Linked DNA regions of Daphnia pulex. The protein of the gene in region 1 binds, or shares a complex with, the protein of each later gene. Links are inferred from orthologs where the notes say so. Each region holds a gene or a part of one and is shown in the gene's direction. Other genes may lie near its edges. The genes, in order: N-alpha-acetyltransferase 35, NatC auxiliary subunit-like; N-alpha-acetyltransferase 38, NatC auxiliary subunit-like.

Region 1 (4,309 bases):
AAATTAAAACTAAAAAAAAGCTATTAAGCTCATAAAACCAGTCGATGTTTTGTGTGGATATCATGAGATATCAGAAGTTTATCTCCGTAGCCTTCAACAATCAGCTGATAAAGGCGATTTATTCGTTGCGCATCGCTAGGCATGTCAATCTGGCCGTTCAGTTGATAGTGTGAGCACTCGACACCAAACAGATCAAACTCCAAGTATGAACCCATGGCAGCGAAATCAAATACATGTTCGTCCTGAATCAAAGTTCCTATAATAAAATGTGTTTAGAATAAGATAATATTGTGAGAAAATAACTTGAAAAAATGTTACTGTCTAAATGACATAGAGACACTTGATCCGCCTTCCCTCCCGCCTCTAGAAAATGTCTGAGAACTTGAGCAGGCGACGCTGGATTCCGTCCCGGATGAATGGAAACTGGGCACTTGAGTTCATTTTGAACTATAGCGGCGGCTTCTAAAACGCGCTTTTCAAAATCTAATAACAAGTAATTATTATTTCAAATCGTTTCTCTTTAATAGTAATTTGTAGTTCGTACTGTGAATGGGATAAGAGCATCCGATTTCTCCGATTAGCCCGCATCTTATCGCGGGTGCTTCTAGGCATCCTTCGGTCTGTTCTGTTCGCATTACTTCAGCCAGTTTCTCGATGGGCTCAACAAAAAGCTTGGAATCCTGTGAAGCTGCTACATAGTATCCAGTTCCAGCTATGATGTTGATTCCAGTAAGAAGACTCACATCATAGAGAAACTGTGCCTTTCGAGAAATTCCATGAGTAGTACATTCTACAATTGAGCCCCCACCAACTGAATGATAGTGCTTCATTTCAGCAATAATGGCTTGCTCACACTCAGTGCCATTCAGATGGAGGTTTGGTTGATGGCTGTATGGGTTATAACGGATCCAGCCCAAAGTTTCCATGGAAAATGGCAATGTAGATTTATGAACATCAGTTTCAATAGGTTTAACAAAAGCAACATCAAAATTCATTGATAAATGCTCATGAACCATTGTTTTTCCTAGAGCTGAAGGAGGTATAACTCCTGTGACTGTTTAAATACAGCAAACATTCACCATTTATGTATAATTAGCTATCTTAAATTTGTTAAGTGTTCACCAACCTGTTTGAACTTTTCCAGAAAGTGATAAATTATTTATAGGAATAACCTCCATTTCATTTATGCGTAGAGAAAATCTGAAACACCAATAATAGTGATACACTGATACGATTCAATAGAGCTAAATTCTTTTTGACGTTTAAACTAATGTAAACATTGCAAACAATAGGTATGTTATGTTTGTCACGGTCGCTAGGTGGCTACCAACGATCAGCTGGTCCGCGGAATCGACAGGACCTTTTTGAGGAAGTTATTTTGTTGGTATTTTTTGTTCTTTTAATTCCTTCGGGATTTTAGAATTTAAAATGGCCCGTCCTCCTGAAGTTGTATATTCTTGGACAGATATAACCAGTGATTTCAAAGCTTCAGTCAAAGGTAAATTGTGTACCACAACTTTGCCCATGTTGATCAGTCGTAAACCCTCACATGCTCTCTCTAGACTTGGAATTGGGAGAATTAGCCCATGATGACTTGTTTGGTTTGTTTGAAGCCATGTCTGCAATTGAGATGATGGACCCCAAAATGGATGCTGGAATGCATCAGACTACCAATGGCACCAAAAAAATTCTCAGCTTTGATCAAGCTGTGAAAGCCGAGAAACTGGAACTGAAAAAAGTCAATCCCGAACAGTTTATAGGTACACAGACAATAATAATTTTTTTTTTAAATTATCTTTTGTTACCATAATTTTGTAAATAGGCATTGTTGATAACAGTATAGCCTGCCTAGTCACATGGCTTGAAGGTCACTCATTAGCTCAAACAGTGTTTATTAATCTCTATGCACAACATCCTCAAAAGATTGAAGACCGAAATTTGAAGGCCTTCATAACCATTTTTCTCAAAGTAGTTGATCTCATCAAAGACTACATCAACCAGTGAGTGTCATCTTAGTGAATGAAAATTTTGTAGTAACAAAGGATTTTTCTATTTAGAGCATCAGTGTTTGAAGAGGAAGACTTTCAGCCTTTGGTTTATGGATTCAAACTAGCATCTGATGTTCCAGAAGCAAAAGCTTTAGCCTTAATCAAAGAAAGTGAAGAAGATTTGATGAAAGAAATTAAAAATTTTTCACCCTCAAGTTCATCAATTGAGGAATCCCAGGAAATGAAGGTACTCAGCCATTTATTATCAGTTTCAGATTATTATTGCAAATTTACCATTTCTATTATGTAGGAGATTAGCGCAGTCCATACCCGATTACGTTTCTTTCGGCATTTCTATCAACTGTTATTGAAATTTAATCGTCGAGAATCACCTAATGCAACTGTTAATGCCAACTCATTAATTGAAGACATCCTAAAATCTACCCATGTTTGTCGCGAAGCCTTAAACTCATGTTTACAGACGATCTCTCTAGGCTCAGGATACGGTAATTATATTATATAAACTTACTTCGTCGTTTTCCCTTGGAATCCAATTTGTTACTTCTTTTGAACAGGAGCCGACGAAATTGAAATTATGGGATTTGAGCCTCAAGTTAACCAACGGCTCTTACCACCCACATTTCCACGATATACCCAACTGCGTTCTCGAACTGATGCCATCAACAATTTAATCCAGTTAATGGACCGCTTGAAAGCAATGTGTAAAATCAAAGATCACACGAATTTCCATTCTGCTTTGGTAAATTATCTTTTAGACATTCTTTTCAAAAGGGAGTTTCCAACACAGTTATTCTTTGTTTAGGATTTTTTCTATAACATCGGCCGACAGCGGCCACCACCTTGCGTGTTGTCCCGGTCATTGTTACAGCTTCTCTATATCCCGCTATGCAACCGAGTATTTGGTCAGCAACCCCTGACAGAAGTTCTTCAAGAAGCAGCCCGGATATTCATCGCACCACCTGCATTGACTGGCGGCTTGGGTTTGGTTGCTGGTACTCAGCAGCACAATCAGGTTCAAGAGTGTATCGACCAGCTGTTCCAACAATGTGTTCGACCGATGGGCTCCTTGGTTCAAATTGCTGGCCATAATTTAGCTCGCCAACGGGATAAATTCGGACATATTTTGCAAGATCTAGCTGCTCTCCAGGAAGAAGTAATATTGCACTTTTCAACTTAAATGGGCTTTACCCAATAATTAATTGTGTTCCCCCTCTTGCAAGGCTGACAAAGTGGATGCATATCTGCATACAATCTCCCTGCAGACGGACAGCGGGCGTTCTCACTTGGCCTGCCTCGGTACTTGGGTCCTTTTGCACACGCTACGGACAATGATTCAGTATTTGTTCTCTGGATTCGAGCTCTCTCTGTACAGCGTCTACGAGTATCATTACATCTTTTGGTACGTATCGATCATAGTAGTAATCGGCCAAAGGGAAACTTCATTAGCGGCTCCGTGAGAGCTTGAGATTGATTTTTCCCGTTTATGGATGAGTTGTTAATTTATGTGTGTGGCTCATGCTGATAGTTTCGCTTTGGGGGGTTTTCCTTTCTTCATTTACACAACTTTTGTACAAAGTAGGAGGAGGATTATAAAGAAAGAGAGGCCAAACTAACGGTTTCCACACACACACCGCGGTTGAGTGCCCCCTGTCTAGTCATAAATATGGGATGAATGTTTCCGATGTTCCGGTCGAATCGTTTATTTTGGTTTTTTCGTATTCGTGTGCTAGGTATCTCTACGAATTTCTCTACGGATGGCTGATATCGGCTTACAACCGAGCCGATTCTTTTTTGACGGAGCATCAGTCGATGGCCGAATATCTGAAGAGCAAAGGCAAGGCGGCTAACGCTACCAACAAGAAAGGAGGTCAGAGTGGCAACGGCAAGAACAAGAAGAAGAAGGAACGTAGCGCTACCGCTCGACCCTACGCCAAGGAAATTGCCTATTGCCAAGCCGTCCAGTCTATGTGTGGGGGCTATTATAAGGTAAAGATGGCCAACTCACGGTCCATCGTCCCCGTTTCTTCCTTTTTGCCCAGCATTGTAAATCTACCCGCATGCCTTATAAGGAATGACATAACTCTTGCACTTATCCCTAAAGCTGCGGATGCTCCTTTTTTCTCCATCAAATAAAAAAGAAAAAATCAGAGACAAACAAACAACACACGTAACATGGGTACAGTATACAGTTACGTGTACCCTATGCGTGACCCAGTCTGCTGTGGTGGTTATAATCTTTGGACTTTATTTTTGTTTGTTTCTTTGGCTGAGAGAAAAAGGTGAAGGTATCCCACTGTTTC
Region 2 (2,766 bases), on another chromosome or scaffold:
CGGTCTTTGCTGCTCCAGGGCCGGGCTGCTCTGCTGGGCTTGGGCGACGTACGACGGCAATTGGCTGCCCATCATTCCGCTTCCGGATTGAGGTCCTTGGCTGGAAGATCTATAACATAAATAACATTGAATGACGCAAGACTCTCCAAGTATAAAATGGAATTAAAGTTCAAACTCACTGAGACAAGTATTGGCCGGAGCAGGAAGCAGCCAACATGGCGCAGATCATAACGACCTAAATAATTAAGACAAAACATTTTTGTAAATAAATGAAGTATTTCAAGCGACTCGTAATGTCAAAAATAAAAGATTAAAAAAAAAAAAAACTCGACTTAAATTTAGAGAAACATGGAAATAACATTTAAATAAAAGGAAATTTTAAAAGTTTTAATACTTACAGTTTTGAAGGTATTCATGATGAAGTAGTAGGAATTGGAGTGCTGTTGACTGGAGAACTTGCAAAGGTGAAGTGAGTGTCTTCCAAAGAAATCGCAGGCCTTTAAATAGTCCAGTTCCAGGTAGACGGACAAATCAGCTGGAATTGAATTAACGGTTACTATGCGGAGGAGGGAAAGTCAAATATGAAAACTGACCTAGTTCAAAGGTGAAATTGTTCACCTGCTTTCCCACATCGCATTGTGCTGGTCACAACCAAACCAAGGTTAACAATCGCGTCCCCTTCGACCTATTTTTTAAAATTACTTTAAAGCCCCTTCCGCTCTTCTTCGTTCAGACAAACATGTTTTTCACAGTGGCCTATCAACAATCTTCTGCCAATCCCTTTTCGTGTTTCTTTTTTTTTTAAAGCAAGGTCGGAAAATCTAAAAGGGTCATAAAATTAAAAACAGGTAAGGTCTTGGCTGTTGCTATGTTGATTTCTTTCGTATGAAATGGGAAATTTAATTTTTTACAATCGTGACTGGCTGACTGTATTTTTTTTCATAGTTAAGTACAGAAAATATTGTTTCGTCTCAAACATTGCTTGATCCTTGATTTCGAAGGAACTTGTTGAGTAATAAAACAAAGTACTAGTTGTGCGGTAACATCACACAAAAACAGTGTAGGGATTAACGATTGCACCTCTGACAGCCACTTAAGCTGTTTAGCACGTTAAGCTCCATCATAATTCATGGGCACTATCATCTGAAATTTGCTTATCACCTAGACGCAATGATGAGGGACAATTGCTACCAAGTCGATTTATTCATATTACATTAAATAAAAAAGTCAAAAAATTCCTTTTTATTATAATACAAAGGACCCTAAGGATTTTATTAATTTATCCTATACACAACCGGTTTCCCTTATTTATACTCCTGATATAAGATGTCAAAAAACTTGTAAAATGTTTTTTTTTTAATTTCGTTTAAAATTCGCGCTACTTAAACGCCATCTCTGTTGCGATACCCTAAATGCGTGGAAATGAGGGAAAATGGACGGTCTGTCAAAGCTCGAAAACATTGAAATGGTTGATATTTCGAAGGAGTCATCAAAAGAAAAGGAACTTACTATGAAAGTACGTTCAGAAGTTATTCTTTCTTAGTCTTAAATGCTCATCACAACACCAATTTCATTTATTTTGCAAAAGGTTAAATCTCCCGGAAGGTTGAAACTGGAATCTTGGCTCAACGCTGTTATGAAAATAGAGATTGAAGACGGTCGCACCTTGATTGGGCAGTTTTTGTGCACAGACAGAGACTGCAACATAATTCTTGGATCCTGTTATGAGTACCCTCCTCCAGATGGTAAAACAAGTTTTGACTTAACATTATGATTGCAGTGACTAGAAACAGTTAACACAAACAGATAATGCTGCTGAAGAGCCACGTGTATTAGGATTGGCAATGGTGCCAGGGAAGTATATTGTTTCAATCTCAGTTGATGATCTGATGGTACACAACTCTCCATATATTACATGACATCAGCCAGGTTGTGTATTGGCTTAATGTGTATACATGCTTAACACTATCAGAGGAATACAAAGTTGATTTGTTTGTCAGTTCAATTGCTTCATCCTGACTGTTAAGATTTTAATTTATTAGTCTTTTATGCTTTTAAGTCAATGTGAGTAAAGGGAGCTCCTAGTTCAAATTAATCCACGCTTTTTCTTATAATCTTCTAAGTTGAGGGAACGACGAGGGGCTTCTTTCAGGTTTGCCACAGGTTTTGGAGTGACAGCAACTGGTTGAGCTGTAATCAAAAATAGAAAATTAAAATGTCAACTGAATTCTTGATTATTTTAGTTAACTTACATTGAAGAGGGACTTCTAAATCTATTTTTATATCAAAATCGTGTGCAGAAAATAGATCACTAGTTTTTGGCTTTGCAACCAGTTTAGCTTTGTCTTTCGAATCAGTTCTGCCTTCATTATTGGCAGTTGCCGACTGACTTTCAGTTTTAATTACTGGGGCAAGAGGGTCGGGTCCAGGCGGAATTCCATCGGCATTAGGACGGTAACCTCCTGACTTTCCGGGCCTAGTGCTTCTCCGTGTGAACGGATCTTCGGTTTTCTGTCCTCCACTGGCTCGAATCTCCTCAAGAATGGCTTCTTCTGCTCTCTCTACATTGCGCTTGCGATTACGTTCATTGATGAACGAAATAGATGAGAGCGTTGTTGAAAGAGATCGCTTGCTCAGCTCATCAGCTCTCTCCTCCAGTTCGGCCAATTCTTTAGTGATGCGTTCCGTTTCTTCTTCCTCTCCTCTGTTAAGGTAATCGACAGTCAATCAATATCCAACTTCTGATTGTTGAGAAATTTGCGACAT

The links.
Region 2: N-alpha-acetyltransferase 35, NatC auxiliary subunit-like (region 1) and N-alpha-acetyltransferase 38, NatC auxiliary subunit-like share a complex: the UniProt entries of both Drosophila melanogaster proteins name them as parts of the N-terminal acetyltransferase C (NatC) complex. The link is inferred for Daphnia pulex from reciprocal best matches to the Drosophila melanogaster genes Naa35 and Sbat.

Annotation. Positions count from the first base shown.
Region 1 is NC_060021.1:6,739,667-6,743,975, forward strand, and holds the start of N-alpha-acetyltransferase 35, NatC auxiliary subunit-like, read left to right. Parts: upstream 1-1,310; 5' UTR 1,311-1,428; coding exon 1,429-1,498; intron 1,499-1,562; coding exon 1,563-1,760; intron 1,761-1,822; coding exon 1,823-2,000; intron 2,001-2,057; coding exon 2,058-2,235; intron 2,236-2,298; coding exon 2,299-2,494; intron 2,495-2,563; coding exon 2,564-2,748; intron 2,749-2,811; coding exon 2,812-3,162; intron 3,163-3,229; coding exon 3,230-3,408; intron 3,409-3,739; coding exon 3,740-3,995; intron 3,996-4,309. Other genes in the region: phosphotriesterase-related protein-like, read right to left, coding at 39-256, 319-483, 545-1,054, 1,127-1,178. UniProt on the Drosophila melanogaster protein: Auxillary component of the N-terminal acetyltransferase C (NatC) complex which catalyzes acetylation of N-terminal methionine residues.
Region 2 is NC_060019.1:7,926,816-7,929,581, forward strand, and holds N-alpha-acetyltransferase 38, NatC auxiliary subunit-like, read left to right. Parts: upstream 1-1,396; 5' UTR 1,397-1,432; coding exon 1,433-1,516; intron 1,517-1,588; coding exon 1,589-1,745; intron 1,746-1,806; coding exon 1,807-1,919; 3' UTR 1,920-2,005; downstream 2,006-2,766. Other genes in the region: type IV pilus biogenesis and competence protein PilQ-like, read right to left, coding at 1-109, 180-235, 399-416; RNA polymerase-associated protein Rtf1-like, read right to left, coding at 2,087-2,190, 2,253-2,704. UniProt on the Drosophila melanogaster protein: Auxiliary component of the N-terminal acetyltransferase C (NatC) complex which catalyzes acetylation of N-terminal methionine residues. May have an accessory function in the survival motor neuron (SMN) complex.